Lonchura striata: one gene and its partners. The protein of the gene in region 2 purifies or fractionates together with the protein of the main gene of each other region. This does not show direct contact. Links are inferred from orthologs where the notes say so. Each region holds a gene or a part of one and is shown on either strand. Other genes may lie near its edges.

Evidence for each region.
Region 1: the proteins of SNW1 (region 2) and BAG2 purify together in Homo sapiens (affinity purification with mass spectrometry; 3 studies listed by BioGRID and IntAct, with this or other methods). This does not show direct contact. The link is inferred for Lonchura striata from reciprocal best matches to the Homo sapiens genes SNW1 and BAG2.
Region 3: the proteins of SNW1 (region 2) and EEF1A1 purify together in Homo sapiens (affinity purification with mass spectrometry; 3 studies listed by BioGRID and IntAct, with this or other methods). This does not show direct contact. The link is inferred for Lonchura striata from reciprocal best matches to the Homo sapiens genes SNW1 and EEF1A1.
Region 4: the proteins of SNW1 (region 2) and CCNT1 purify together in Homo sapiens (affinity purification with western blotting; 3 studies listed by BioGRID and IntAct, with this or other methods). This does not show direct contact. The link is inferred for Lonchura striata from reciprocal best matches to the Homo sapiens genes SNW1 and CCNT1.

The regions. Positions count from the first base shown.
Region 1 is NC_134605.1:89,198,155-89,205,046, reverse strand, and holds the start of BAG2 (BAG family molecular chaperone regulator 2), read left to right. Parts: upstream 1-3,889; 5' UTR 3,890-3,982; coding exon 3,983-4,146; intron 4,147-6,892. UniProt on the Homo sapiens protein: Co-chaperone for HSP70 and HSC70 chaperone proteins. Acts as a nucleotide-exchange factor (NEF) promoting the release of ADP from the HSP70 and HSC70 proteins thereby triggering client/substrate protein release.
Region 2 is NC_134608.1:21,873,483-21,880,628, forward strand, and holds the start of SNW1 (SNW domain-containing protein 1), read left to right. Parts: upstream 1-4,130; 5' UTR 4,131-4,202; coding exon 4,203-4,216; intron 4,217-5,220; coding exon 5,221-5,374; intron 5,375-7,146. UniProt on the Homo sapiens protein: Involved in pre-mRNA splicing as component of the spliceosome. As a component of the minor spliceosome, involved in the splicing of U12-type introns in pre-mRNAs.
Region 3 is NC_134605.1:83,911,805-83,919,338, forward strand, and holds the start of EEF1A1 (elongation factor 1-alpha 1), read left to right. Parts: upstream 1-4,527; 5' UTR 4,528-4,646; intron 4,647-5,351; 5' UTR 5,352-5,398; coding exon 5,399-5,542; intron 5,543-6,375; coding exon 6,376-6,555; intron 6,556-6,691; coding exon 6,692-6,988; intron 6,989-7,244; coding exon 7,245-7,395; intron 7,396-7,534. UniProt on the Homo sapiens protein: Translation elongation factor that catalyzes the GTP-dependent binding of aminoacyl-tRNA (aa-tRNA) to the A-site of ribosomes during the elongation phase of protein synthesis.
Region 4 is NC_134629.1:6,118,346-6,125,576, forward strand, and holds the start of CCNT1 (cyclin-T1), read left to right. Parts: upstream 1-4,219; 5' UTR 4,220-4,229; coding exon 4,230-4,405; intron 4,406-5,435; coding exon 5,436-5,517; intron 5,518-5,765; coding exon 5,766-5,894; intron 5,895-6,662; coding exon 6,663-6,723; intron 6,724-7,231. Other genes in the region: ADCY6 (adenylate cyclase type 6), read left to right, coding at 159-288, 803-1,066, 1,742-1,946, 2,464-2,588, 2,676-2,804. UniProt on the Homo sapiens protein: Regulatory subunit of the cyclin-dependent kinase pair (CDK9/cyclin-T1) complex, also called positive transcription elongation factor B (P-TEFb), which facilitates the transition from abortive to productive elongation by phosphorylating the CTD (C-terminal domain) of the large subunit of RNA polymerase II (RNA Pol II).

The DNA of each region.
Region 1 (6,892 bases), on a different chromosome or scaffold from region 2:
ATCTGCAGCTGTACAGAATGCACTGCCTCATTTAATCGTCGACTGCTCAAGTGAGAATGAATTGCTGCATGCCCCAAAATGGTCATAGCAGCTCTCAGATTGCCCCTGAGACAGAGGACTTAATTCAGACTTCTAACCAGCCTGGGACCTCAGGGCTTGCCTACACAGTAAAAACTGCAGCATGTAGAGGCAAACCCAGGCTAGTTTTAATAGCATTGGTAAGAGCAGCAGTAGAGACACAGCAGCACAGGTTCAGCAGGTGTGAAGTGAGGGGGCAGCCTACTGTGATAGCAGATGTGTTTTGATGGAAAACAGCCTGAAAAGTCAGGTTGGCCCATCTTTATTGCTATTGTTGCAGTGCCGGAGAGGCTGCAGGCTGGTTTTGGTTGGCTGGCCTGAGCCATGGATGCATCCTTCAGCCATGTCTGGGAACTGCTGCTTCCAGCAGAATACCTGCTCACAAGGAAGGTTCTTAACCACCAAATTGTTTGGGTTGGAAGAAACCTTAAAATCATCTAGTTCCAGCCTGCTGTGGAGAGGGACACCTCCCAGTAGACCAGTTTGGTCAGAGCCTCTTTCATCCTGGCCTTGAACACTTTCAGGAATGAAGCATCCACAGCTTCTCTGGACAACCTGTTCCCGTGCCTCGCCACCCTCACAGAAGAGAATTTCATCCTAGTATCTAACGTAAACTTCCCCTCTTTCAGCTTGAAAATACTAAATTCCTGTAGATGAAGACAGGAAAATAATCCTGCATGGCATTTCTTGGGTGTGGACTTTCTCTTTGATCCTCTTCCATGACAGCTCATGTGTAAGTATTAGGGTATGTGACAAGGCATATACCAGGATTTGAAATAAGGCAAAGCTGGAACTAAGGTGCTGTTTAGTAGTGTTACAGTTTGCAGTGCTTTTGGTGTAGGTCATCTCCCTCGCTCTGGGACTTTTACATCAGATGTCTGAGACCTGGAAAAGTTGCTCTTTCTGCTGTCTCAAGGGACTTTGTGCATGTGAATGAGACTTCTGTTCATTGCTCTATTTTGTAATCAGCACCCATTCTTTACAATGCTGTAGTTTAAACAAGAGACAGCCAATGTTTTCACTGTTGTGATGGGAATGCAGGAACAATGGGATACCCACTCTCTTCTTATGTTTTTGCTGGTGCCCATAGTGAGAGCAGGTCTGTGCAGTCCTTCACATGACCACAGATGTGCAGACATGGGAGGAGACAGGGATGTAGCATGGCTTCACCAGCAGCCCTGAACATGCTTCACCAGTGATGGCAAGGAGGAGAATTAAATCCTACCTTTTGTCCTTAAAATTCCTCCAACTCAGCTGTGAATCACATTCCTTCCTGCAGGGATGCACTCCAATCTTTCTAGACCAACCAGTTATTATTTTGGAAAATTGATGCCAATTGTCCCTTTACATACCTCAGCAAAAATAGAGGGGGTGGGGGCAACTTACTCTAGAGAGCAGGAAAAGCTGTTTTCAAGGTCCTTCCAAGCCTCTGAAAGGGAAAATATCCCAGTTTTTACAGGCAGTAATTTCAAGACTTGTCCTGGAAGACTATTTTTACTTTTAAATTTGCATTTTGTTTCCAAAGTTTTGCTATTCCTCCTTCTTGTGTAATGTCCTTTTGTTGTTAAAGAGGGTAAGTAACGTGTGATACATTTGGACACTTAGAGCTGTTCTGCGCCTCTGATTCAGCTGTTGTGACTTCTACCTGTGTGGAATTAAACCCCTACTTACGTGTGGAGGAAAAAAGTGTTCAGAGCTGCTCAGCTACTTTGATTTCTGCTTTTTAAACCCAATCTAATTGAAGCTTAATAAATTGGCATGGGATGAATAGAAGGATCCTAGGAAATAAATGGTAGCAAACTATGTGTCATGGCTACAAATGGGTTCTGTTTGGGGTGGGAAATGGTTTTTAATTATCTTCTATAGAGACTGTAGAGAGATGGATGGAACAATTGTTCAAATGAAGCTATTTCCATGAGCTCACAGGCAACGAGCCTTGCTTATCCAACCATGTAAAACAAAGAAAACTCAGGCAATTAATTTAACGAGAGTACTCAGGACATGATATCATTCTGAATGGATGAGCCTGAGAAAACAGCTATTTTGAATCACAGCAGGATAAGCATACAAAACAGTGTCCCTGTGCAACAAAATCCCCCTTAGCTGGGTGCCAAGAATTGGTCTGTTAGAGCCATGGGGTATTTGCCCAAACCTCGTCTTTTGGGATAAGCAAATTCCTTTTTAAATACTCACAGTAGTGGTAACTAAAACTTATGTGTGACTTGAATTGCTGGTGCTTGTGAGAAAGAAGGAACCGTTTCATACAGGCAAATTAAATACGTTCCTGGGACAAGTCATTACTAGATGTAGATCAACTACCTTGGCTACCATTAAATAGATATATCTTTTCTCTCTGGCATAGAAAGAGAATACAAACCACTTTTATTTCCAGTAAGCTTTTTTTTGTAGAATCTTACAATAACAGCTGGTGAAACAGCTGCTTTTCTGCAAGTAGTAGGGGGCTCTTGCAGTTGGCAGGAGAAAGATGCACTATAAGTAGCAGTATAGCAGTATCCAAAATACCTTTTTTTTTTTGTTGTTGTTGTTTTTTTTTTAGGAATTTTGTTTAGGTTCTGCTTGCACTAAGGGCTGTCTCTGGTTTGACTTCTCTCTCATGTCAAGCTTCTGGATTTTTAAAGCCCTTTATTTTTCCTCCTCCCTTTTTTTGCACTTTCCACTGTTTTCAGTTTTGTAGTTTACTGTTTAATTAGCCTTAAATAAAAATAACCTTTGGGTAGTTGTGGGTTTCTTGTTTTCTTTAATGAAAGAGCAAACCAATGAACCAGCCACACAGACCAGTTCTGGAACACAAAGCCTCATACCAATAGCTCCCATCTCCCTCACAAAGCTAATACAGATATCGAAAGCATCACTTTTCCTCCCTTCCCGGCTGGTCCAGGTTTTGTTGCTTTTGCCACAAAGGGGAGTGGAGACTGGAGCAGGACAGCCCAGGCCTGTGCCCCAGGCGGTGCCAGCGAGGAGCAGGGCAGCAGAGGCTGCCGTGTGTCGGCCAGGGGCCGGAGCGCTGCGCGGCAGGTGCGGTGACACTGCGGTGACACTGCAGTAACCCTGCGGTGATACTGCGGTGACCGTGCGGTGACCCTGCGGTGACACCGCAGTAACCCTGCGGTGACACTGCGGTGACCCTGCGGTGACACTGCGGTGACCCTGCGGTGACCCTGCGGTGCCGGGCACTGCCGGGCACTGCCGGGCACGCTCGGCTGCGCGGCCTCAGCCCCGGGCGCGGCCCCGCCGGCCCCGTGGCTGTGTGCGAGGGGGCAGAGGCGGGAGACAGGGAGCTCCTGGGGCAGCGAACCCAGCCAGGGGGCTGGAGAATCTCTCGTGCCAGGAATGCCCGAGGGAGCTGGGTCTGTTCAGCCTCGAGAAGGGGTGACTGAGAGGGGCCCTCATCAATGTGACTGCGTACCCAAAGGACGGGTGTCAAGAAGACGGAGCAGCCTCTTCTCCGTGGTGCCAAGTGATAGGACAAGAGACGTGGGCAGAAACTGATGCACGGGAAGGGAAGTTCCACCTGAATAGGAACAACTTGTTTACTGTCGAGGCGATCGAGCAGCACAGATTGCCCAGAGAGGTTGTGGAGTGTCCCTCGCTCGAGAGGGGGCAGGGGCCGGCCCGGCTGACCCAGCGCGGTCCCTCCAGCCCGGCCCGCCCGGCGGTTCCGCTGCCCCGGGGCGGGGCGGGGCGGGGCGGGGCGGCCCCGCCGCGCTGCGTGAGGCGCTGCCCGCGGGCCCGGCGCGGGGGCGGGGTGGCCGCGGGGCCGGCGGCGGGGCGGCTCCTTCTTTGGCCATGAGCGAGGTGCCGGCATTCGGCCGCCGCCGCCGCCTGCGGGACGCGGGGAGGGAGCGGCCGCGGCGAGGCTCCGCCGGCGGCAGCGGCGGGTGGGATGGCCCAGGCCCGGATCAGCGCCAAGGCCAGCGAGGGGGCGCCGCAGCAGCCGCAGCCGCAGCAGCAGTCGGGCGGGCAGCTCCGGGGCCGCTTCTACCGCTCCACCTCCATGGCCGACCGCTCCAGCCGCCTGCTCGAGAACCTGGACCAGCTGGAGCTCAGGTGGGGCCCGGCCGGGCGCTGGGGGGCCGGGAGCCGCTGGCCCTCCCCCGGCTGGGGGGCGGTGCGAGGCTTCTGGAGGGGACCCGGGGGAAAAGGCTCTCCTTCATGGGGGACAAAGTTTAAAAATGGGAGCTACTGCTCAAAGGTGAGTTAGCGTGGCCTGGCAATACACGAAAATAGGAATAGCTATAAGAATGTATGAAAGTGGACGTTTTTCAGAGAAAGCGCGAAGGGCTGTTTGGGATTTGTTAACCCTTCAGGGCGCGGGGAGCCTTTAGACGGGGCTGCGCTCTGGAGCTGTGACACGGCGGGGACGAGCCCGCGCTGCATCCTGACTGCCGTCCCACCCTGTCCCCCTGTCCCGCACCTGCGGGCAGGTGTTTTATAGGGAGATGCAGGAAATCCGAGGATAAAACATGGTGTCATTCAGGCTCTCGGAGACTTTGGCAAGCCTTTAAGCTGCAGTGCTGTATGCTGGCGTGTGAGGCTTCTTGTCTTCCAAACCTCCCTTCGCACTTACTGGTTCAGCTGTGGATGTTCTTGTAGTGTTTGTGTCTGCCTCCTCTCTGAGGTGTATTAAAAAGTGTCACTATAAAATGTGAACAGCATTGCATTCTGCAGCTGAGGCGTGTTTTTCCAAAGTTATTGTAAATACTATGTGAATTTCATAATTGTGCCAAGACACGTCCTAACTTTTTCTGCTACTTGACGTTCCCTAAATAATACCATTTTACTTTTTTCCCAGTTTGGCTTCATGAGAGATGATACCTTGCCTTTAATCATCTTCCCTGTCCTCTCAGCTCTGCTAAATTACATAGTGTCCTTTCTGAGGTGGATGGATGTGCAGAATGCCACTGATTCACCTCCTCTGGTACTGTTTCAACACACCCTTTCCTTCATTACAGCTGCATATTGATCAGCAGCTTTCATAGAGCCACCCAGAATGTTTCTAGGACTTTCCTGTAATTAAAAGAGCTCTGTGGGATGCAGGAGTTTTATTTCCCCTTTCTGCCTGCATTACTTTGCATTATTCAGGAGTGGACTCGATGTGCTGTTATATTAGCCTTTCACTTAGCTTGATTAAATCTCCTTGAAGTCCTTTGCAGACTTCTCTGAATTTGACTAAACAAAATCACTGTCTGCAAACAAGTCTCACTGCTTACATCCAGGTCTAGGCGTATGATGAATATATAATCAAAAAATTAGCATGAGAATATGCAAAAATGTGTTTTAGATTTGCTGAGTGACTCTGAAACAAAGCAGACAGTTTGGTTAGCCAGCAATTAAACCCTCAATTAAACTTCCCAGTTTGCTGTGGTTCTTTCAGACAGCCATAATTCTAAATGTGGAATAGTAATGAGAAAAAAAAAAAAGTCTAATTTGATAAAAGTCACTCAAGTCTTACAGTTTTTTCCTATTCACAACTAATCAACATGCTTCATTTCAAATTTATTTGAATGACAGGAGGAAAAACTTCCAAACTTTCTCCTTTTCCAGCTTGTTTGGTTTTGCTATAGACCCTCAAGATGTTGCTTGTTAATACAACCAGTGAAAATTTGTCAAACTGAACTACAGCCTTTAATTAAAACCCTCAACAATCCTCAGTTCTCAAGTTGCTTAAGGTCAGCTGAACTCTGAAGCAAGCCTCATCCCTCTGGAAGTCACAGGATCACAGAATGGTTTGGGTTAGGAGGGACCTTAAAGGTCCCCTAGTTCCAACCTCCTGACATGGGCAGGGGCACCTTTCAGTAGACCAGGTGGCTCAAAGCCACATCCGGCCTGGCTTTCAACACCTCCAAGTGTCCACAACCTCTCTGGGAAACCTGTTCCAGTGTCTCACCATCCTCATAGTGAAGAATTTCTTCCTAATACCTAATCTAAGTCTACCTTCCTTCAGTTTAAAGGCATTGTAAACTGCTCCAGTTTGAACAGCCTTCCTTTTCCTCCCTTTCTTTCCACTGTGAGAGCTCATTTTCCAACAGTAATGGGGTATTTTTGTACCTCCCTGATAGGTGTTTGCTGAGTGCATTTCTTCTGTATGGAAAGTGAGCAGGGAAGGGGAGTTAATTTGGGAGGGAGTGCCCGAGGCAGAGGTGGTGAGCCGGGCAGGTGGCACGTTTGCCCCTTGTAAGGGCTTGGACCTTCGTGTGGCTGTGACTGCCAAGATATCTCAGGAGCAGCTGGAAGCCAGACCAGAAGCTCTGTTTATGAGTCACTGCGTTCTGTTGGTTGTGTAAAGTGAAAACACAGTTTTAGGTGTGATGATACACGAGGTAAGTAAGATTCTTACTGGGTATTTTTTATCTTCATTTTTTGTACTTCTTGTCTTGTTGTTTGGATCAACCCTGTTCCGCCACCATTCATTTCAGTGTTCACAGGACGGCTTACCTGGGAGTGGACACTCAGCTGAAGAAGCTGAGGATGCCAGGATGAAACCCCCTGTTTTGTCTTCTTCCAGTGTGCCTGATTAGCTCTATTTCAGGAAAAAAAGCTGCTCCATTCTCGGATGTTTCTTATTTCCTTTGAAAGCTTATCTGGACCTCCAGCACGTGGGTTTTAATAGTGGGCTGTTTAAGTCAGTCATTAGTTTAAAGGACACAGTTATTGCAGCTGTCCTAAGAAAGCAGGTGTCAAGTTTCTCATCTGGAAACAAAAGCACAGCCTGGTCCACCTGTTTCTCAGGGGAATGCTCTGCTCATGTAAATGGTATGTAGCAAAAAAAGGCATTGCTCAGATAATTGCTCAC
Region 2 (7,146 bases):
CCTATGGCTTTTTGTTTGTTTGGTTTGGTTTTGGGGTTTTTTTTAATTTTTGGTCCAACTTAAATGGATATTGGCAGGTTTCGCCTTTATATTAGCAATAGAAAGTTCAGAGCTGATTCTGGAAGCCATAAAATTTTAAAATAGCCTCTTCTTACCAATCGTACTGTTCAGAGCCATTATTTAATAAAACATGTCTTGACAAAAGCATGCCCATAGCCCAAGGTCCTTCAGCCCCTGTGACTCAGTAGTCACCAAAGTCTGAATGTGACAATGGAAACTGATGTGCTCCTTGGAGAGCAGGGCTTTACACAAGCAGCAAAATCCACTTCTACCAGTATTTTGTTCCTTCAAGGCCTCTGCTCAACCTTGTTGTGTGGAATCAGTTTAGACAATTGCATGCCACCTCCATACTTCTCTCTCATAATTTCTGTTGGCAAAGGAATTTCCCCTTACTTTATTTGCTAAAGCTGTTGGTGCCTAAAGGACACTCCACTTCTTGCAGGTTGTTGGGAAGTGTCAGTGACCAACATGTCCTGTGTGAAATGCTCCAAGACCTTTGCAAAACACCCCCAGAGTCTGTGGTTTTTACAGAGGTACATGAGAACATTTTTGCCTGAGAAAGTATACTTTTCTACAATATGCAACAAATAACAGAAATTAAACCAGCCTTCATTTCAGTCGCTCCAGAGGACATAGACATGGCTTGAAGAATGTAAAGATTTTTTTACAAAGCCACTAATAAACCTTCTGATCTTCTTTTCCCAGGTATAATTATTCCTTCTGAATGCTGCCTGTAATGCCTAAGGGAATGTGAAGTACAGGGGTTGCTGATGTGGTTGAACCTTTCCATCAAATTAAGTCTCTTCTATTTCATTGTTTAGCATCTTACCTGTCCAGAATTTACCTCTTGAGTTAAGAAGTGTTGTTTATTTTGATCATTTTTATCCGAGTATGTGCAGCAACTGGTAGGCATACAGATATCTGATATTAACAATAGCTTATTCCATTACTTTGTATCATCATCTTCATTTGTTACAAGATATTTCATGAACTATTTAATTCTGGATTTGCAAATGTGAAAAGTGCTGAATTAGATAAAAAAGGTGCAGAGGATTTAATAGCCTAAACCTACCCCAAAAGATTTCTCAGAATGCATCAGAAATATGTTCTTAAAACCAGCTGTGATATTCTCATCAAAATAAAAATGTCTCTGCTCCGAACCATGCCAAGACCTCTACAGAGCCTGAACTCCTTATTCATTCTACCGAGGATCATTTTGGCATGATCATTTTGTGAATAGAGATGCATATGGAAACTTGATATCACTATTGTGCAGAAAGATATTGTCCAAAATATCCTGATGAAAACAGAAAGGAATTAATCCTTTTTGTCTTAGAGAGAGATTTATATTTGGGGAAGATACATTTCAGATTCTTAGAACCATTCCTTGCCTAATGTTTCTTTTGTGAGGAGCACAGAATAAGTTAAGTTGGTAGGGACACACAAGAATCATTGAGTCAAACACCTGGCCCTACACAGGACACCCCAAGAATCACACCACGTGCCTGAGAGCATTGTCCTGATGCTTCTTGAACTCAGGTTTGGTGCTGTGACCACTTCTGACTGTTCCTGTATGGGCCCTGGCTGCTCAGGCTTGCCCAAAGCAGGTCTGGTAATAATGAAACTATCTCTTCCCAGAAGATTTCAGCTTTGATTACAAGAGGATAAGGGATAGAAAAGTGAGCACCTCCCACAGTTTTTCAAAGGTTAAACACTCTCATTGTTAAATATTTCAACTTAATTTCTCATTTGAATTTCCCTAATTTCCACTTCCACTACTTGTAATAGCATTGCTTTCCTCTATGAGATTAAGGAGTGGCTTAATATCTTGCATTTCTAATTTGTACAAATCGCCTCTCAATTTCTTCTAATGAACAAAATATACTAAATGTCGAAGAGCAGATAAATGGAGTTAACCTCATTCTAATCTGGCAATAGTAACATTTACCTCTTAAACTTCACCACAAAACAAATCAACTTATTGTATTTCCCCTACACTTCCAACTAATGATAGCCTTATCTTACCTTTGTAGTCTTTTAACCCTCTTCTACCTTCCAGAATTGTTTTAAACTTGAAGACCAGGACAAGAGTCCCTCTAGAGTTCACTATATCCCTTCTTCCACATCCATGGCCTGCATGAGACTTTTTGTTACTTCATAGCACAATAAATTTGTCCTAAGCTCCTTGTCTCTCATAACCCTCATGGGTCCTTTTCAGGGCCACTGGTTCCCAGCACAGCCTGTATTTAACCCCACATTTTTTGCTTACAGATATATGAGTTTGCACAATGGGATGTTGGAACACAGCTCATTTAAATGAGCTGTACTTACCAAGTCATCTAGCTCACATTGTATTACTCTCCTCCCAGTATCCCTGAATATTTTGCCACTCATTTTGAAACATACACTTTATGAATAGCAATTTCATATTGACAGCAAGCTGATGAAAATGGTGACTAGCATAAATCATAGTGTGTGCCTTCCTCTGGAACTTCCTCAGAAATACCTTATGCAACATTGATTCCTGTTGATTCCTTTTTACTTTGAAATGCCAGCCACTTCCCAACCCCAGTGGCACACCTCTTCAAGTGTTGCACAGTGCTAATTCTTTAATCAAAGCATCATCATAAGCAGAAGATAGCAGTCATAGTGTGGTGATACATTCCCCCCATACCGCATTAAATAATACTCCACAGCAAAGAAAGAAGGAGAAATGTCAAAATAGGAGGGATAAAACATCATTTTTTCACTCAGACTAGTATAACAGCTGAGCACAGAGGGTTTGACAGCTTCTAAGGGCCCCCTTTTCTATGGGGGAAAGCAGCCTCCTGAATCAGGTGGCAATATTGCCAGATATGACAACAGCAATACTGTTATTAAATGAGTGACAGAATTGGGTAGAAGGGATGACAGATGAGTTTTGCTCAGGAAAATAATTGATAAATGTTGGGTGACAAAGTCTTGTATCTTTACCTTTGTATGAATTGCTCATAAGACACCAGCAATCTCAGAGAGAAGGGCAAGTATCTGTCACTCATAGAGGTGCTGACAGAGCTGCTGTTACCACAGTGTTAAGCCAAAAGCTGATTCCCACTGGAGCTGATGAGTTCAGGCATAGAGAGACTGCACAGGATTGCCCTTACCTTCCTCCAAATCTTCCCAGTCCTAAAAGTTGTAGCAGATTAATTTATCCTGAAGGAGTAGTTCACCCTTCAGATTAGGAGATGATAGGGCAGACAAAATGACTAGAGGACTGCAAGACAGTTACTCTGTCTTATTGTATTCCTGCCTCCTATGGTGTGATTTTTAAAATCTCTGATAGACCATGTTTGTTTCTTTAGTCATTCTACCCTTTTCTTCCCTGTCTGGCTTCCATTTCTCTTCTAGATGAACCAACGCCTGGCTCAGTGGGACTCTTCTGCCTTTGATTCACTAGAGGTGATATAACAATAGCAACTTAATTAGTAATCTTCAGTTATATATAGTGCTATATATTGCCACTTTAACTCAAATAGTTTATAGCTTTACATAGGAAAACAGATTTTCCTATGTAAAGCTCCACTTAGTTCCCATGTATTACAACTCCCTGAGAAATATTGTTCCATATTCCAAATTTTAATTGTACTCTAAAGAGTGTATCTCTTGATTTGATTTAAAGAACTCCTATGTTATGTATGCTCATTTAACAAAGACAGCACAACTCCTTTTTAATGCAGAAATTCTTCTCTTTTCAATCAATATTTTTACACCACTTTCAGTCTCTTTTCTTTCCTTCACTCCCATGTCCCAGTTCAACGATTTCTAAGCAGCAGGTATATCAGAATAAATTTTATCCTGATCCACTTGCTCTATATTTTCTACTTTTTACTTGGACATATTCAGCTGGATGAACTGTGAAGTTACTGAACTTGGAGACTGTGTGAATAGTGCGGGGGAGCGGAATAGGACGGCTGAAGAAATAAACTGGGATACCGCAAAACTACACCTCCCAGGACGCCTTGCGGCCTACCGCATGCGCCACCGCGCCGCGAGTGGCCTCACGAAGACTACAACTCCCAGGGTACGCTGCGGGCACTGCGCATGTGCAGGTGTCGCTGTCTCCCCGCTCCTCGGCTGCCGGGCGGACGGCCTGCGCGGTCAAGATGGCGCTCACCAGGTGGGTCGGGCGGGCCCGCCCGGGCCGTGAGGGCGCTGCGGCTCCCCCGGCCGGGCCGGGGATTCGCCGCCGCGCTGCGGGGCTCCGCCGACGGGAGCGGCCGCGGCTAGGGAGTGCGCGGGGGGGCCGCAGCCTCTCCTGGGCAGGGGGCCCGCCGGCCGGGCCGCGGCCGCAGAGAGTGCGGCGAGGGCCGGTCGGGCCGGGGGAGCCCTGGGGGTTTGGCCGTGGTCAGGGCGCTGCTTCTTTCGCCTGTTCACTGCGGGTAGAAGGAGCTCCTCCGCTTCGGTTGGGTCCGTGGGGTTTTGTCGAGGTTTCTTCACCGTCGGAGAGGGCGAGCGGTCTTTGTTGCGATCTGTAGTGTCTCGCAGGGCATGGGAGTGCAGTTCCGGTGGCTGCACCGGAATCCCAAGTTTCTTTGGATACTTTCTTAGTAAATGCACAAAAGGGCTGTGTAGACAAGAAGAGATAAAAAAGGGGAAGTGAAGAAATTGGGGTTCGACTTGCCCTTGGCAGGGAGGTGTCAGGGGTAGAGGAGAGAGGTCTTTGTCAGATCTCTGTGGATGTTTGCCTTGAGAGAAAGGAAGAACGAATCACTGGGACTAGAGACACAGGAACATAATATTTCTTTCTTATTCCTAGTAGTGTAAAGAATACCGGTGATATGTGGGATTCCTGTTGGAAAATGGGCATTGCCACTCTTCTATTCAAGAAAGATGTGAATGCGTGTGAATTTAGCATTTGTTTTTGTAGGAATCTTTCAGAATGCTGAGAAAGCACACATTGCAACTGTAATCTCCGAAGTTACTGAATCTTAGAAGTTGCCCTCACATTTATGAGTGCAATGCTCAAGTTTCATAAATTGTTTCTTAATCTATAGAGTGCTTGTCGAGAAAGTATTAACTTAGCAAGAAGTTCAGTCAAGCATAGTTGAGTGCCTGTGAGTGAAGTTACCAGAATTAACTTTCTATGTAATTCTCTTTTGGTTGCTGTCCATGGGTGTCCAGTTTTTTGCCAGCTCCAACCCAGCTGTCCCAAGATCAGCTAGAACTAGAAGAAAGAGCAAGAGCTCAGAGATCCAGGCAGGCTGCTCTGGTCTCCTCGAGAAGGGAACCCCCCCCCTATGGTTACCGGAAAGGATGGATACCTCGTGCACTAGAGGTAAATATTTAAATTGATACAGTAGTAATGTGTCTGCTAAAAGGGAGAAAAAAATTCTGGAGTAGAAATAAGCTCTGAGCACCTTGAATGTTGCTGAGAATTGTGCAAAGCCTTACAATGTGCATTATCCATACTGCTTGATAAACCTTTGTGTTGGGAGAGGTTCTAATCTACTGGATTCCTTAAAGCATTTGATGGTAAACAGGATGGTCTATGTCTACTTCTGTTCAGAGATTGTTGTGTTGGAATGTAGAAATACATCTGTAGCCCTTTGGATTTACAGTCTGTGAACACAAGGTTTCCCTGAGAAAAACATCCATATTGTTTCTCTGTTAGTGTTAAATACACATTCTGGATTATAGCTGAAATAAGTGAATGTGTGTGTATCAGAGACAAGATGTTCTGTGTGTGTGTTCTGTTCAAAAAGATACCTGCTATTGGGGGACAAAATTATTACAGTTGGAAGGAAAATAAAAAAATAACCAAATATTTGTTGTTTAAGTATGTTATTGGCTAAAAGATTTTGGACAATGTTGTGTGTTAGTAGTTGTAACCCTTGCCAGTTTAATGTAATCTAAACTGGAACTGCTAAAGGTAGAATAAAAATACAGATGTATTCTGATTATAAAACAGTTTTAGTACAGTCTCTCACTGTGAGCCAGAAAAACCTTGCAGTTTGAAGTGATCCTTGACAATAACTTCTGAGACCTGTTCTGATGAGTCACAAGCCAATGCTCTTGGAACAAGCAAGCTGTTGAAGTTTTATTACAGTAGTTTATGTATGATCCTATGTTGTTTCCAAATACCATAATTTCATCAACTTGTAATAATGTTGCTCTCATTTATGTTTGAGTGCCATTTTTATAAATCCAACACTGTTCTGTGGTGGTCCATGTACTTCAAACAGTAGTTCCAGTGGTTCACGGAAAGAAAACGTTCTTCTGCAAGTTCAGCATTTCATCATATGCTGCATATGTATGATGTCAAAAATTATACTTCCATTATACCCAGTGAAGGTTTCCCTTCCTACACTGTTGAGTACTAAAGCTAGTATTTTAGTGCTTATTCTTTCTTAATGTTAATAAAGAAATATTTTAAGAAGCCAGATGCTGAAGGTTTGCAAAGACTTTCCAACACCACTTGGCCACAAATTAATGCACATCTCAAAAAGCCTGTTAAGGGCTCCTTTCCGCTTCATAAACAGGTGCAAATTGCAGTTAATGCTTTCAAAGCATAACCTTTGTCCAGTGCTCCTGGACTGCCATTGCTGTTCTTTTTACGTTAAGAGTTGCAGAAAGAAAAATTTAAAAAATTGAAGAATGACTGAATTTAGTTCTGGCTAATACTTTAACAACTAATTGTTGAATGTGGGACATCCAGTGGAAAACTTCCGATAGCGGAAACTGTTTAAAGGAGCATTTGCAGATGGGATAAGCACACTGTCCGTGTTTGGAAGTGTTCTGCTTGGTCATTTTCAGTCTCAGCCCACTCCGTCCTAGTGGTGGTAACTACTTGGTCACATGGTGAGCATGGAGGAAGATTGATGTACTCAAGGCACCCATTTTTATTTTTTAATATGTTTTGTTGTTAGCCATGCCATTGCAACAGAGAAAGGATAGATGCTCATGCTGCTTTAAGCAAATGCTTCCTCCAAAGTGTTCCATTTGAAACTGCAGCCTGAAGTTGTTTTATGAATGGTACCACTGCATCCTCTGTGGTACTGAGACAGGGTGATCTGGTTTAAGAAGTCTTTTAGTTATCTGTTTATTAAA
Region 3 (7,534 bases), on a different chromosome or scaffold from region 2:
ACTTTTTGTTTAAGCTATTATCTGCATGTATCTGCTCATTTGCTGTTTGGTTCCAGAACACTGTTACCAAAGCAGCCACCTGTGCAGTTATTTCCTCCTTAGGACACCTCTGTTCTACATCAAATACTTTCATTTTCTAGCTCACAAATGCAGAACTCTGCAGAACTCCACAGAACAGCACATGGGGTTTAAATACAGCTGCTAGTTCTGGTCACATCCCAGCATGATCTGACCACTCTGCCTGATCCCAAACCTTCGGTATCACAGTTCAGCCAGTACTAAACCTTCAATATAAATGAGCTTTCTCGTGCTGTGGATAATGTGGTTTGAAAAGACTGTCCAAAGGATTTTTTTTTTTTTTTAAAGCAGGCTATCCTCCAAGCCAGTACTCCATCACCTGTTATAAATGCTGTAACTATAATGGCAGTGCTTCCTAGAGGAAACTTCTTTCATGAGCAACAATGACTTTTAAAGAGGCTCTTGTTAAGCTATTCAGAAGACTCTGCAATTGTCACTGCGTGTTCATCCCAGTGATACTCGCAAGAGTTTTGAAGTCCACTGTGTTATACCTCCTACTGTAAGACCTTCTTTTGTGAATCTATAAGCAAGGTCAGCTATGAGATCAGACAAGATGACTTTAATTAGTCCAAGTCTTAAACTTCCAAGGATGGAAGAGTTTAATTTATACTGTCTACTAAGACAATAACTTAAACTGTATTTACTGTTGTCTCTTTCTTTTAACAAGCAATTTTGTTTATATAAAAATGCCAGCTACTTGTACAGAGCTAAGTAATTTTCAAAAATAGTGTTTTTCTATTAGTATAGATCACCTCACCCTGTTCAGTTAAACCTTTTCTTTAGGCAGGTTTTCTGTCTACTCTTTTCATATATGAATAACACCATTATTCTATTGTTCTCTTATTTCATAAGCAGATGATTGTAAAAACTGGTTGTAAGTATTAAGATCATGTATGAAAAAGGGTTTTGTAACAGGTGTAGGTGCTTTTTATTGCTGTTAGGAATCAATGCATTAAAGAACACTTATAGATGGAAGTAAGGCTGTATGCTCACGCTATAGTTTATATTGAACTTTGGACAAATGTACGTACCAGGATAATTATAATATAGGGATTAGAAAACCTTTCACAGTAAGTATGAGGCTAACTGTATAACAGAATGGTGCTGTGTATTAGAATCCAGTTTTGCTGATCACCAATTACTACTATTGGTAACTTTGGACTGCTTTTCCACCACTTCCTGAAAGTGCCCTCAAGAAATCTTAGTGCCTCTTTCATATATAGTGAGCTTGATATACTCAATTTATCAGATCTGCTTCAAGTCTTGCACATAAAAAGTCTGTTTGCTCATACTCCTGAATGACTTTGGTCATTGCAATTAAAATGGTTGTATAAGCCTAACTTACCTGCATCTTTGCACAGGAATCTGACCAAAAAAAATACCCATGTGCATATGGTAGAATTGAAATTCTTTAGAGATGCTCAGTGAGCACATCTTTTATCTCCTAGCATGATTTCACTGGCTGTGAATATGTTCTAAGCTTACAGCCCATTCTGTATGTGCTGGAGCCACATGCTAAATGGAAGTAATGCTTCAGTAGCTACTATGAACTCAAAATCCAGATGACATATACTTTTTAAAGCTGAAACTTTTGGCCTAGATTTTTTTGGCTTAGACTTTTATTTTAATATCATGTGACCTGAGATTCAAAACCCTTTTAAAATGGTGGTTTCCTTCAATACACATGCTTTAGAGCATTCTCTGTGTTCTTACACTGGAGACATATGTAAACATAGGATATTTCAGTTTAGCATATGCTCACCAGTGATCAAAGGAGAATGTCCTCCTAGTTCTGATGTCAGTATTGAATAAGCCCTATTTAAATGGCTAAATATCCTTGACTTCTTGAAATGTCTTATCTTTGTTCCTTCCTAAATGTTACATATTAAAGTGATTAGTTTTACCAAATTAATACAATCTAAAATTTTTATAGGCTGTTGCAAACAGGATTTAGTCCAGTGTAGGGCTATTTGTGTTAGCTGAGAGGATTCTTCAGAATGCATTTCCACTGTATTGTCTGAGGCTACTCATATATCAGAAGGTCCCCAGCTGTATAAATATTTTTGAGATTGATAATAGGAATGTTCTTCTAATGGAGTGGGCAAGAAAAGATACACTAATTGTTGAGAGAATAAAAACATGTATTGGTCAAACTAAAGAGGAAATAATAGAATTATTTTGAAAACTCATTTAAAGAAGTGGAGGGGGAAAATAACTGCTGTAGATTTAAACTAGGACTATGTTTAAAAATTTGTACCACAAATTCAGCTTTCATAGCTTTTCAGCTATATAGATACTGCCTTAGAGAAGAAATACCTGAAATTACTTCCTTAAGAAACACCTGATTCTAAGAGCCTTTATGAAATTATCTTCTAAGAACAGTAGCTTTAAAAAAATTAGAAATATGCAGTTTAGTATGGACCATATAAGAATTTAGTAACATATTTCCTTCCTCATGTTCCTGTTCAGGCACAAATAATTGACTGCATTTGGGAAGTGTTAAAACTACCTTTTTATGAAAATGGTTTCTTTGACAGATCAGTCCATTAAAAACACCCCCCCTCCCCCACTGAAATACACATTTGAGAAGGTAACTTCAAACCATATTGAAGAATAAAGCTTTTTAACTGTGTTTACAGTCTTTGCTTTATAGAAGACCCTAAAAAACTGTTTCCTAGCTTTCTTGCTAAATATTATATTTTGGTCTTCAAACCAAGCCACTCACAAGAATGCACTTCCATTTCCAGAAAGCAGATCACCTTCCTTTTCCTGCTCTTTTCCTATGTCTTCATATGCGGTGTCTTCACTAGTAACTGGCCCTGAAGGTTAATTTTGAGGAAAGCTGCACCATTTCTATATTCCCTCCCCCACTACTACTAATCTCTGCTGAAAAACATAAGAAGGGGTGAGAGAGAATTTGTTTTTTTCCTTTCTTAAAAAAAAAGTGTTTAATATCTGAACCCTTTTTCAGATATTGAACACTTTTATTATCTGAAATGCTTGTTTTTGTAAAAGGTGTACTCTAAACTCAGCATGCTCTCTAATGACATTTTGTTGTTTTGTTTTTTTTTACAAAATGCATCTTTTTAATTTTTCATGTGGGAAAAATACCTTATCTTATGGAAACACTTCCATATCAAAGCATGATATCCAAGTTTAGTGCTCTCTAATGAATTTGATGCTGGGTTTATCTCAGAGAAACTTGAAGTTAAGTGGAAGGGTACATTTGTAGATGCATGAGGTAGTTTTTTTATTAGTTTGCTGATGTTTTCTTTTTTGTTTGTTTTTGAACAAGAAGCTGTTTCCATGCTATACAACTGCACCCTGAAGAGCATAACAAGAAATGGATGATAGTTGTCTATAGATAAGTAACTATTTCTGACAGGCATATAATGTAGCTGAATAAGAAGATGGACTACATAGCTTTGCAGATAATTTAAAAATAACAGAGACAGTTCAGCTATTCATTTTAATTTCTCTTGGATGGGTATAGGAGATGTTGAATATTTAATGATTTTTCTTATATCAGTTACAGGCGACTAAACCAGAAAAAAAAAATCTACTGGAATCACGAGGGCCTTTATTTCTGATGTTGTGAGCTGTTTTGTGACTCCTCATTGCCACGATTCTAAAAATAATTTGCCAGGGCTGCCGGTTTTCCCATGTGAAAATACAGTATGGGGGCAGTTTCTGCAGTCAGGGTTTCTTGCACAGAGAACCCCTGTCCTGAATACTTCCGTGACTGATCCATTTGCACTTCAGACGCATCTTTACTGATAGTGCGTCTGCCTTGATTTGTATTTTTTGTGCCGAAGTTTCCTAAGACGAGTCAACTTTCGTCCTCTAACGGTAAAACAAAACCAGAAAAATATTTTTCATTTTTTTTTAAGCCAAACGATGGCTTCTTATTCCGGTGTGATAAGCTTCCAGAAATTCCTGCTCTTCCCCTCCTTCTCCACGTTTGATTCTGCGAGACTTGCAACGTACGGGGGTAGGGGGAGTTTCGCGATGTTCAGCCGGCATTTGTTACTTGCCGGTCAGGGTAACTCACTGAATTTCTAATCTCGCTGATTGCGTTCCTTTGTGCCCCCAATGCGAAATACAATTAACTCGCCGGGGCTGCTCCCCAGGGACTTTCGTCCCTCGGGCCCGGCCTGACGCGGCCGTAGCCCGGGCCCGAGCGCTGGGCCCTGCAGGGGCCGGGGCTGCTCGGTGCTGCCCCGCTTCCTTCCGGGCAGGCGGCATCCCGCCCGCGCTCCATCCCAGCGCCACAGGGACACGGCTCCCTTCCCGGCGGAGCCCTCGGCACAGCGCCGGGCCCGGGTCCCGCTCGGGGCCGGGGTCCCGCTCGGGCCGGGCGGGTCCCGCTCGGGCCCGGGTCCCGCTCGGGCCGGGCCGGGGTCCCGCTCGGGCCCGGCGGGGGCGGGCCGCTCCGTGCCCGGGCGGGGCCGCGGGGCCGCCGGGAGCGGTGACGTGTCCCGAGACCCCGCCCCCCGGCAGGCTATATAAGGGGCGGAGCTCACGCCGTCGGTCTTTTTCGCTCCGGGTTTGCCGCCGTCGCCGAGCAGGTGAGGCGCGTCCGCCGGGCCGGGCCGGGCCGGGGTCCGCTCGCCCCGGAGGCCCGGCGAGCGCTGGGCCGGGGCGTGCAGGGGGCCGAGGGGAGGGAGGGGCCGGGGGTGCCGGCGGGAACCGAGGCGGACGGGCGGGCAAGGGAGCGCGGGGCGGAGGGATGGCGGCGCATCGTTCTGCTCGATTACCATGTGCACACCCCCGTTGTCCGCGCTGAGGGCGGCGGAGCGGCGTGCCCGGGCGGGCGTGGGGCAGGAGGCGCCCGGCAGCCTCCCCTTGCGCCCCGCGGGCGGCGGCGCGGGGCCGTGCCGGGCGGGGCGGCGGGGCCGCCGGCGGGAGGGGGCCGGGGCACGAGTGCAAAAATGGCCGCTCGCCTCGCCGCCCGCCGCCAGCGCCACAAAATGGAGGACGCGGCGGCCCGGGCGGGGTGAGTCACACAAAGGAGCGGGGCGGCCCCGCCCTCCGGCTGCCCGCCGGGCCCGCTCGCCGCCGCCCCGCGCCCCCGCCGCCGCCGGGGTAACTCGAGCCCGGGGAGGGGGCGACGCGAGGGGCGCTCCGAGGGGCCGCGGCCCGCCCGCCTCGCTCCTCCCCTCCCCCGGCGGGGCGGGGCCGCCATCCCGGCCCGGCCGCCCGCGTGCGGCTCCGCCATCGCTGCCCCGAGGCCCGGCCCGAGGCGTAACCAGCTTCTTCTCGGGAACCTGCAGGTGTCGATTCTCTTTTGCCGAAAGAAAGAACTCAGCTAACATCCAAAATGGGAAAGGAGAAGACCCACATCAACATCGTCGTCATCGGCCACGTCGATTCTGGCAAGTCCACCACCACCGGCCACCTCATCTACAAATGTGGGGGCATCGACAAGAGGACCATCGAGAAGTTCGAGAAGGAAGCGGCTGAGGTGGGTGGGCGCATAGCAGCCAGCAAAATTCTGGGCTGCAGGAATGACTAGCCCCTTAATTGAAAAGTGAACCTGCAAAGCCTTCAGTGGCCACGGGGAGGCGGTTCGGTTGCCTCTGCCCCAAGAGCTGAACAAGTGGGTCAGTGTTGCGTGGCCACAGGGCGGCAGCTGCGTTGCAGTTGTCCCCGAGGTAGAACAAGTGTTGTAAGTGTTCCATCTGCCCTTGTGTTAATTGCAGAAACTCAGGTTGTGAAGTGTAAAGCAAGTCAAGAGAAGGTAGTCTAAAGCTACATCTGAATAGTAACATCTCGAATCAGGTTAAATGGCCAGATACAAACTACATAGAAGGATAGTTGATAAAAGTCTTAATTTAAAAATCTGGGAGTTTTACTGATACTGTTCTTTTTCTGTGTAATAACAGCACAGGTCATAAGAACATAGAATAAAATTTGACAAATGTTTATCAGAGTGGAAATTAAGGTGTTGATTATTGCAAGGATTGAAGTAGTAGGAGGACTTAAAATTGTAGAAGATACCTGATAGTAGGACTCAGGCTCAAGAGCTCTATCATAAAGATGCTTTAGTGAAATTAACAAGCTGCCAAGGAGTCTGAACTGTCAGCAAGTTCAATAAGATTCAACAGTTGGCATCTCTCACCAGTAGTGCTAAGCGTATCTTGTTGCTGTTTTTATGAGCAGCAGCGTTTTTCAGTGTTAAGCCAGTTACTATTAATAGATTTTGCTCTTCAGTCAGTGTGATCTTTCTGAACTAGTTGCAGATACAAAACCCCTTCTTTTTAATGGTAATAAAAATGGGTTTTTTTCTGACTGTAGATGGGCAAAGGTTCCTTCAAATATGCCTGGGTCTTGGACAAGCTGAAGGCTGAACGTGAGCGTGGTATTACTATTGATATTTCTCTGTGGAAATTTGAAACAAGCAAATACTACGTCACCATCATTGATGCTCCTGGACACAGAGACTTCATTAAAAACATGATTACTGGAACTTCTCAGGTATGTAAAGAAAGTACGATTTGGGGGGTTCTGGAACGTTGTTCCTTGGTTGCTTAGGGGGCGGTTCCTGTATTACTTTGGCATACACGCAAGCATTATAGTGAGGTTGTTTTTTCTTTTTTTTTTTTTTTCAAAGGCTGATTGTGCTGTCCTGATTGTTGCTGCTGGTGTTGGTGAGTTTGAGGCTGGTATTTCCAAGAATGGGCAGACCCGTGAGCATGCCCTTCTGGCCTACACCCTGGGTGTAAAACAGCTGATTGTTGGTGTCAACAAGATGGATTCCACTGAGCCACCCTACAGCCAGAAGAGATATGAAGAGATTGTCAAAGAAGTCAGCACCTACATCAAGAAGATTGGCTACAACCCAGACACTGTGGCTTTTGTGCCAATTTCTGGTTGGAATGGTGACAACATGCTGGAGCCTAGCTCTAACGTAGGTTTGACATTTATTTCTGTTAAGGCATGAAACTAGGAAGACTGTTAAGTCCAATTATGCAATGATAAAACGCACATTTTGTAATAGTTATGTTTGGGAAGTGCTAAAGTTCAAGATAAATCTTAGCAGTTACAAAAGTTCTTACTCTGCAGCAGTAAATTGAAATGATGCTAAGGGATGCTGCTTGGGCTTTTTCAGGCTTGGCACCATTAAATTTGGCAGTCGGATTAACCTGGGTTTGTTTGCATTACAGATGCCCTGGTTCAAGGGATGGAAGATCACCCGTAAGGATGGCAGTGCCAGTGGAACCACCCTCCTTGAAGCCCTGGACTGCATCCTGCCACCAACTCGTCCAACTGACAAACCTCTGCGTCTGCCTCTTCAGGATGTCTACAAAATTGGTGGTATGTGTTCTCTGGAATGCTGCTCACGTGCCAGCAGCAGCAGCTCTTTTCCAAGTCAAAAATTAGAATTCTTGTCTCGAGTGGGGTTTTTTCCCCATAAGGGCATATATTTACTAAGCTGAATAATAAATAATGCTGT
Region 4 (7,231 bases), on a different chromosome or scaffold from region 2:
AGGATCCCCTGGGTGGGTGAATGGAAATTTTGGGGTCTGAGTGCAGATTTGGTGTCCATGGAATGGGTGGATCTTTGGGGTCTGGGTGGTGTTTGGGATCTCTGGGTGGGCAGGGACGGGTCCTTCAGCCCACCTCAGGGGTCCTGGGGGTCCTGCAGCCCGGCAGAGGGGAAGGTGGCCCTGCGCTACGTGACCCCCGTGGTCCTGGCCGTGTTTGCGCTCGCCCTGTACCTGCATGCGCAGCAGGTCGAGTCCACCGCCCGCCTCGACTTCCTTTGGAAGCTCCAGGTATGACCAAGTTGTGGTGGGCTGGGAACGACCCTCTTCCTGCCTCCTGAGACTGGGACTGACCCCCTCCCTGCACCCCAGGACTGGGGTGATAATGGGCCTTCCCATACTCAGACAAGATTGACTCCCCTCCCTGAACCGTTGTGGTTCTGGGACTGATCCTACTCCCTGGGATTGGGGTGACCATGGGATGGGAACTGTCTCTTCCCCTACTCCCTGGGATTAGGATGGCTGTGGGGCTGGAACCAAGCCCTTCCTTCCATCCTGAGACCAAAACTGACCCTTCCCTGCCCCCCAGAACTGGGGCAGTCATGGGACAGGGACCAGTCCAGGGCCAGGACCAACCCCGTCCCCACACCCTGACTTGAAGGTGGCCACAGGGCTGGGAGCAACCCTTTCCTTGCATGCCAGCACTGGGGTGACCATGGGGCTGGGACCAACCCCCACCCCACACTGTGCTGCTGGGGCAGCTGTGGGGTCCTGTGGCAGCTCCCAGCTGGGTGTGTGCCCACAGGCAACGGGTGAGAAAGAGGAGATGGAGGAGCTCCAGGCCTACAACCGGCGGCTGCTGCACAACATCCTGCCCAAGGACGTGGCCGCGCACTTTCTGGCACGGGAGCGGCGCAACGACGAACTCTACTACCAGTCCTGCGAGTGCGTGGCCGTCATGTTCGCCTCCATCAGCAACTTCTCTGAGTTCTATGTGGAGCTGGAAGCCAACAACGAGGGTGTGGAGTGTCTGCGGCTGCTCAACGAGATCATCGCCGACTTCGATGAGGTGCTGGGGCAGAGAAGGGGCAAGGGGGTGCATAGGGGTGAAGTGCACAGGGGTGGGGTGCAGTGGGCAGGGTTCGTGTGGTGCTGGAGAGGCTGTGGGGCAGCAGGGATGAGGCTGTGGTCCAGGGAATGTGGTCACAGGGTGCTGGAAAGGCAGTGGAGCAGTGGGGATGAGGTACAGGATGTATGTCATCCTTGGAGAAGGCATGGAGCAGCTTTCATGGAGCCACAGGAATGGATGCAGAGGCTGTAGAGCACTGTGGATAGAGTGCACAAGGATGAAGTACAGGAAGATGGGGTGTTGGAGAGGCTGTGCAACAGCAGATTTGGGGAAAGGGTGCAGGAGATGGAGTGCATGGGGTGCAGGAGAGGCTGTGGAGCACCATGAATGAGGTGCAGATGGGATGCACAAGATATAGAGAGCCTGCAGAGCACCATATTTGGACAGGGCGCAGGAGATGGTGTGCAGGGGGTGCTGGAGGGGCTGTGGAGCACCATGGAGGAGGCAGGGGATGTCATGGGGTGCTGGAGAGGCTGTGGAGCAGCATTTGTGGAGCCGCAGTGCAGGGTGCAGGAGGTGCTGGAAAACCCACGGAACAGCATTCACGGAGCCATGGGACGGGGTTGGGGTACCCTGTTGAGGTGCTGCGGGGGTGAGCCCAGCCTGTCCTCCCAGATCATCAGCGAGCAGAAGTACCGGCAGCTGGAGAAGATCAAGACCATTGGCAGCACCTACATGGCGGCATCGGGGCTCAACGCGGCCACCTACGACCGCGAGGGCCGGAGCCACATCGCGGCACTGGCCGACTACGCCATGCACCTCATGGAGCAGATGAAGTACATCAACGAGCACTCCTTCAACAACTTCCAGATGAAGATTGGTGAGCCCTTGCACACCCCTTGCACACGCCCCTCTGCACCTCCAGCCATCCCACACTGTTGTTCATGGCTTTGTGCTGGCGGCTCTTGCACCCCTTTTTTCCTCTCTCCCAATCACCTCTTCTTTTTCTCTTTCATACCCCATTTTCCTCTCTCACACCCCTTTTCTTTTTGCACCCCCTTTTCTCCCCTCCTGTCCTTTTTCCCCTCTTGTACCCCCTGTTCCCTCCCTCACCCCATCTTCCCCTCTCACCTGCCCTTTCCCCTCACCCCTCCTTCCAATCTCTCCCTCCTTTTCCAATTTCACCCACCACCCCTTCTTTTGCCCCCCTCACCTCTCTTTCACCCTTTTCCCCTCTCATCTCCCCTTTCCCCATCACCTCCTCTTTTCCCCCTCCACATTCCTCTTTTCCATGTCACTCTCTCCTTTTCCAAACTCACCCCCTCACTCCTCTTTTCCCCTTCCCTCTTCCCCAAGTGTGGGGGGTTCATCCCTGACTCTCAACCATGTACCCCCAGGCCTGAACATGGGCCCAGTGGTCGCAGGGGTCATCGGGGCTCGCAAGCCCCAGTACGACATTTGGGGCAACACCGTCAACGTCTCGAGCCGCATGGACAGCACTGGGGTCCCCGACCGCATCCAGGTGAGTCAGGGGTGGGAGGGACACAGGACACCTGCCCAGAGACCCCCCCTCCAGGTCTCCCCCTTTACCCCTGTGTCCCCCCTCCAGGTGACAACAGACTTGTACCAGGTGCTGGCTGCCAAGGGCTACGTGTTGGAGTGCCGGGGGCTGGTCAAGGTCAAGGGCAAGGGGGAGATGACCACCTACTTCCTCAATGCGGGCCCTGGGGGTAGTTAGGGGGGTCCCCATGGTGTCCCCCCCATGCCGGGGACACCCCCAGCCTGTGCCGAGCTCAGGCGAAAAAAAAAAGGAAAAATCCCCAAATACACATATTTAAAAAAAAAAAGGGAGAAATGGACACAAGGAGGTGGTTGGGGGGCGTGGGGAAGTAACCCTGTGCCCCCCTCTGTGGCTGTTTTAGGGGGTGTTTCCCAGCCCTGCACCGGGGTGTTTTTTGTGGGTGGGGGTCACGGTAACCCCCATCCCTTTGCAGAAACCCCACATGTGCCAAAGAGGGGAGATGGGGCCCCCCAGAAAAGGGACTGCGGGGGTTTTGGGGGCAGGGGGTCCCCAGCCCCCTCCATGTGCCAAATTGAAGTGCCGCCTGCGGGGGTGGGGAGGCGCAGGCCCAGCATCTCCGCAGCCCCCTCACCCCCCGGGGGTCCCAGCTCCCTCCGGGGGGACTGTGGCGGGGAGGGGGGGGAGGGTGGAAGACCCTCCCCCTTTTAAATGCAAAAAAAAAAAAAAACCCTAATGAAGTGACTTTTTTTCTTTTTTTTTTTTTTTTTTTTGAAGCAGTTTTGGGGTTGGGGGGGGGGCTCAGCCCGGGGGGAGTGGGGGGAGCACTCGCCCCCTCATCCCAGCACAGACCTGAGGTACTTTGTCCTTCGTGTGTACAGATAAATTATATATAAAACACTTTGGATACGAGCTGTGGCCTGGCTTGTGGGGCAGGGGGGCACACGGGGCTGCCGGTTGGGAGGGGGCCCGGGATCCTAAGAGGGGAAAACACCGAGACCCAGTGAGGAGGGGTCCCGGTGGGCGACACAGCGGAGTCCCGGTGGGGAGGGGAGGGTCCCGGCAAGGGAAAGAGGGTGGAAAATCGGTTGAGGGGGGAGTACAGGCAACGTCTTGGGGTGCGGGGGGCTGCGGGACCCCGGGAAAACCGGATCTTGGAGGGGTGGGGGGATCCCGCTGCTCCGTGATCCCGGGGGAGTGGCGGGGGTGGGGGGGACATACCGGAGGGGTCCATTGAGGTGCCGGTGAGGAGGGTGGAGTGCCACACCGGTATGCCGGGGTTCCTCGGGTGTCAGTGCGTAGAAGAGGGAGCCGAGGAGCTGGCGGTGGGGCCACAGGGGCCGCCCTAAGGTGCGGGGGCGTTGCGGGACCCCCCGAAAAACCGGAGCCCCTCACGGCGTGAGGGGAAGCGCGGCGGGGCGGGGCGGGGCCAGCCGTGAGGGGCGTGACCATTCCGCGAGGGGCGTGGTCAACCAATGAGGGGCGTGGGCTCTCTCAGGCCCCGCCCCTCCAACGTCCCTCCCTGCTTTGGAACGCTCGCGCCGCCAACGGCTCCCCCCCGCGCCCGCCCACCCGCCGCTTGACGTCATCGCGTCGCCGCGCTGCGTGCGCACGCCGCGTCCCCCGCGCGGGCGCAGAGCCGCCATGGAGGCCTCGGCGGGCGGCGGCGGCGGCGCCGGGCCCGGGCGGCGCTGGTACTTCAGCCGCGAGCAGCTGGAGCGGAGCCCATCCCGCCGCGCCGGCCTCGACCCCGACAAGGAGCTCTCGTACCGGCAGCAGGCGGCCAACCTGCTGCAAGACATGGGGCAGCGCCTCAACGTGTATCCGGCCCGCGCTAGGCCGCGCTAGGCCGCGGGTGGGAGCGGGGCGGGGCGGGGAGAGACGGGAGGGAGTGAGGGAGAGCCGGGAGGGGGTGAGGGGAGAACCGGGAGTGGGAAGAGCCGGGAGGGAGTGAGGGAGAGCCGGGAGGGGGTGAGGAGAGACCCGGGAGTGGAGGGAGCCGGGAGGGGGTGAGGGGAGGGCCGGGTCTTGTGAGGATCGAGGAGAGCGCGGCCCCGGCTCGGGGAGATCGCTGCTGGGGTGTCGGGAAGGCCCGGCCCGGCTCTCGGGGCGGGGAAAAGCCGCTTTTCCCGTTTTTGGCTCGGGAAATGGCGTTTCGGGCGCAGGGAAAGCTGTGCTGGCGTGTTGGAGAGGCTCGGGCAGGCCTGGCCGGCCCGGGAGAGGGGAGAGCTGTGCCGGGGTGCTTGGAAGGGAGCGGCAGGCCCGTCCGGGTGAGCCGTGCCCGCGTTGGGATCGAGGAGATTCTGGGAGCGGGGAGAGTCGAGCCCGTTTCGAGGTGGTGGAGATCCCGTTTCACGGGCAGGGAAAGCTGTGCTGGTGAGTCGGGAAGCCCCGGCCTAGGAGTGGGGAGAGCCTAGCCTCTTTTAGGATTGAGGAAATCCCAAAACGAGGGAGTGGGAAAAGCTGTGCTGGGGTGTTGTGAATGCTCGTCCCACAAGTGGCCAGGAAAGCCGAGCCTGTTTTAGGACCAAGGAGATCCCAAAAAGGATTTTGGGACCAAGGAGAGCCGTGCCAGGTTGTCAGGAAGGCTCGTCTGGGGAGCAGGGAGAGCAGAGCCTGTTTGGGGTCGAGGAGATCCCATTTTGGGAGCAGCGAGAGCTCTCCTGGCATGTTGTGAAGGCTCAGCTGGGTTGTGGAGCGCGGTGAGCCTGTTTTGGGCTTGAGGAGAGCTGTGCTGGGGTGCAGGGAGGGCCTGTCCTGTCCTGGTGCTGTTGGCATGTGGGGTCTGTCCCAGTGGCTCCCCTGGGCCTGTCTGGGGGTCTCTGTGCCTTTCCTTAACCCCGTTCCCAGCTCCCAGCTCACCATCAACACAGCCATCGTGTACATGCACCGCTTCTACATGGTGCAGTCCTTCACCCAGTTCCACAGGAATGTAAGTGCTGGGATTTGGGGTGCGGTGGGGTGCTGGGAACCCCCAGACCCACTCCTGCTGCTGCCTGGGAGGGGGACCCACCTTGGGAAGAGGTTTGGGAAGGGAGAGGGACCCTTTTGTCTCTCCTGGTGGTGGCCAGATTTGAACAGCCTTCATTCCCTGAAGGAATATTGAGAATCCACCTGGTTTGTTTGTTTTAATCTTGAATTTAGTGGCTTTTTAAGCAAACAGAGTGTTTTCCTCCACAGTCGGTGGTGCCAGCAGCGCTTTTCCTGGCAGCCAAGGTGGAAGAGCAGCCTCGGAAGCTGGAGCACGTCATCAAGGTGGCACATGCCTGTCTGCACCCCCAGGAGCCTCTGCTGGACACCAAGAGTGAGGTAAATGTGGGGAGGGAGCCTCAGGGTGTGCTGTAAGCGCTGGAGGCCCGAGGAGCAGGAATGGCACCTGGGATCCACCCTCCCGGGGTGCTCAGGGGCAGCTTCTCCATCCAGCTTCTCCTGCAGCAGAGAGATTTGGGCTTCCCCCCTTGTGTGCAAAGCCTCTTCTCTGCTGCACACCTGGATGCAGATGTGCTGTTTGCCTGTGTCCCTGGAGCACTGCCCAGGAGGGTGTGGAGCAGAGGAGCTCCACTGTGGGAGCAGTTTGTCCCAGCATCTGTCTCAGTGGGTTAAAAACGTTGCTGAGCCCTCATCTCTTCAGACAGCCCCTTTTACTTGCAGCTGAGCAGCGAGTCCTGCTGGAAGGGGCAGCTTTTTCCAGGGAATCCTACAGAAAATTAAAAAACAGCAGGAAAAGCGGGTGATTCCTGCACTGCTCGTGTGCTACCCTAGGAGTGTGGGGGACCAGCACCCAGGGCCCACCCAAACACTCTGATCCCTCTGTCTTAGAATCTCCAGATGGTTTGGGTTGGAAGGACCTTAAATCCCATCCCATTCCACCCACCTGCCACGGGCAGGGTCATTTTCCACTCGCCCAGCTTGCTCTGAGCTCCATCCAGCCTGGCCTCAAACATTTCCAGGGAATCTGTGCCAGTCCCCCCGTGCAGGGAGATTCCCATTTTTGCCCTGGAGAGAAGGGTGTTAGGAATGTGCAGGCTTGATCCGAGTGCCTCTCCATGAGTAACCTGCCTGTCCTCTCAACCCCAGGCTTACCTGCAACAAGCCCAAGACCTGGTCATTCTAGAGAGCATAATCCTACAGACCCTGGGTAAGTTCCTCGAAGCGGCCGGACTGCCACACCAATCCCAGAGCCAGGAGAATTCCACAGGCTGGAGAGCCTCACCCCTTCCACAGAGTCCACACAGCAAACCCCGTTTTTCAGCTCGACTCCTGTTTTAACATCAATTTTTCAGGTGTAACTTGTGCCAGGCTCAGTGCTGAGAGATTTAAGTGTGGTTTGTCACTTTGATTTTTTTTTTTCCCCTAAAAAAACCAGGATTTGTGCTGCTTTGGACACTGGCCCTTGTCCTGGGTTGTGCTTTCCAGCTCAATCATAGAATCATGGAATGGTTTGGGTTTGAAGGGACTTTAAAGACCATCCAGTTCCAGGCCATAATGCTCCAGTTCTGTTGCAGGAAGCAGTTTGTACTGAGAGATGTCTTAAAAAATTGGGTTAGAAGTGAATATTTTGATCAAATAATTCATTGGGGGAAAGTCCCCAGAACTCAAGAAACCAGGAGCATTTTCTGGGTGTTTCTGGAAGTAGGAGTCTCCAC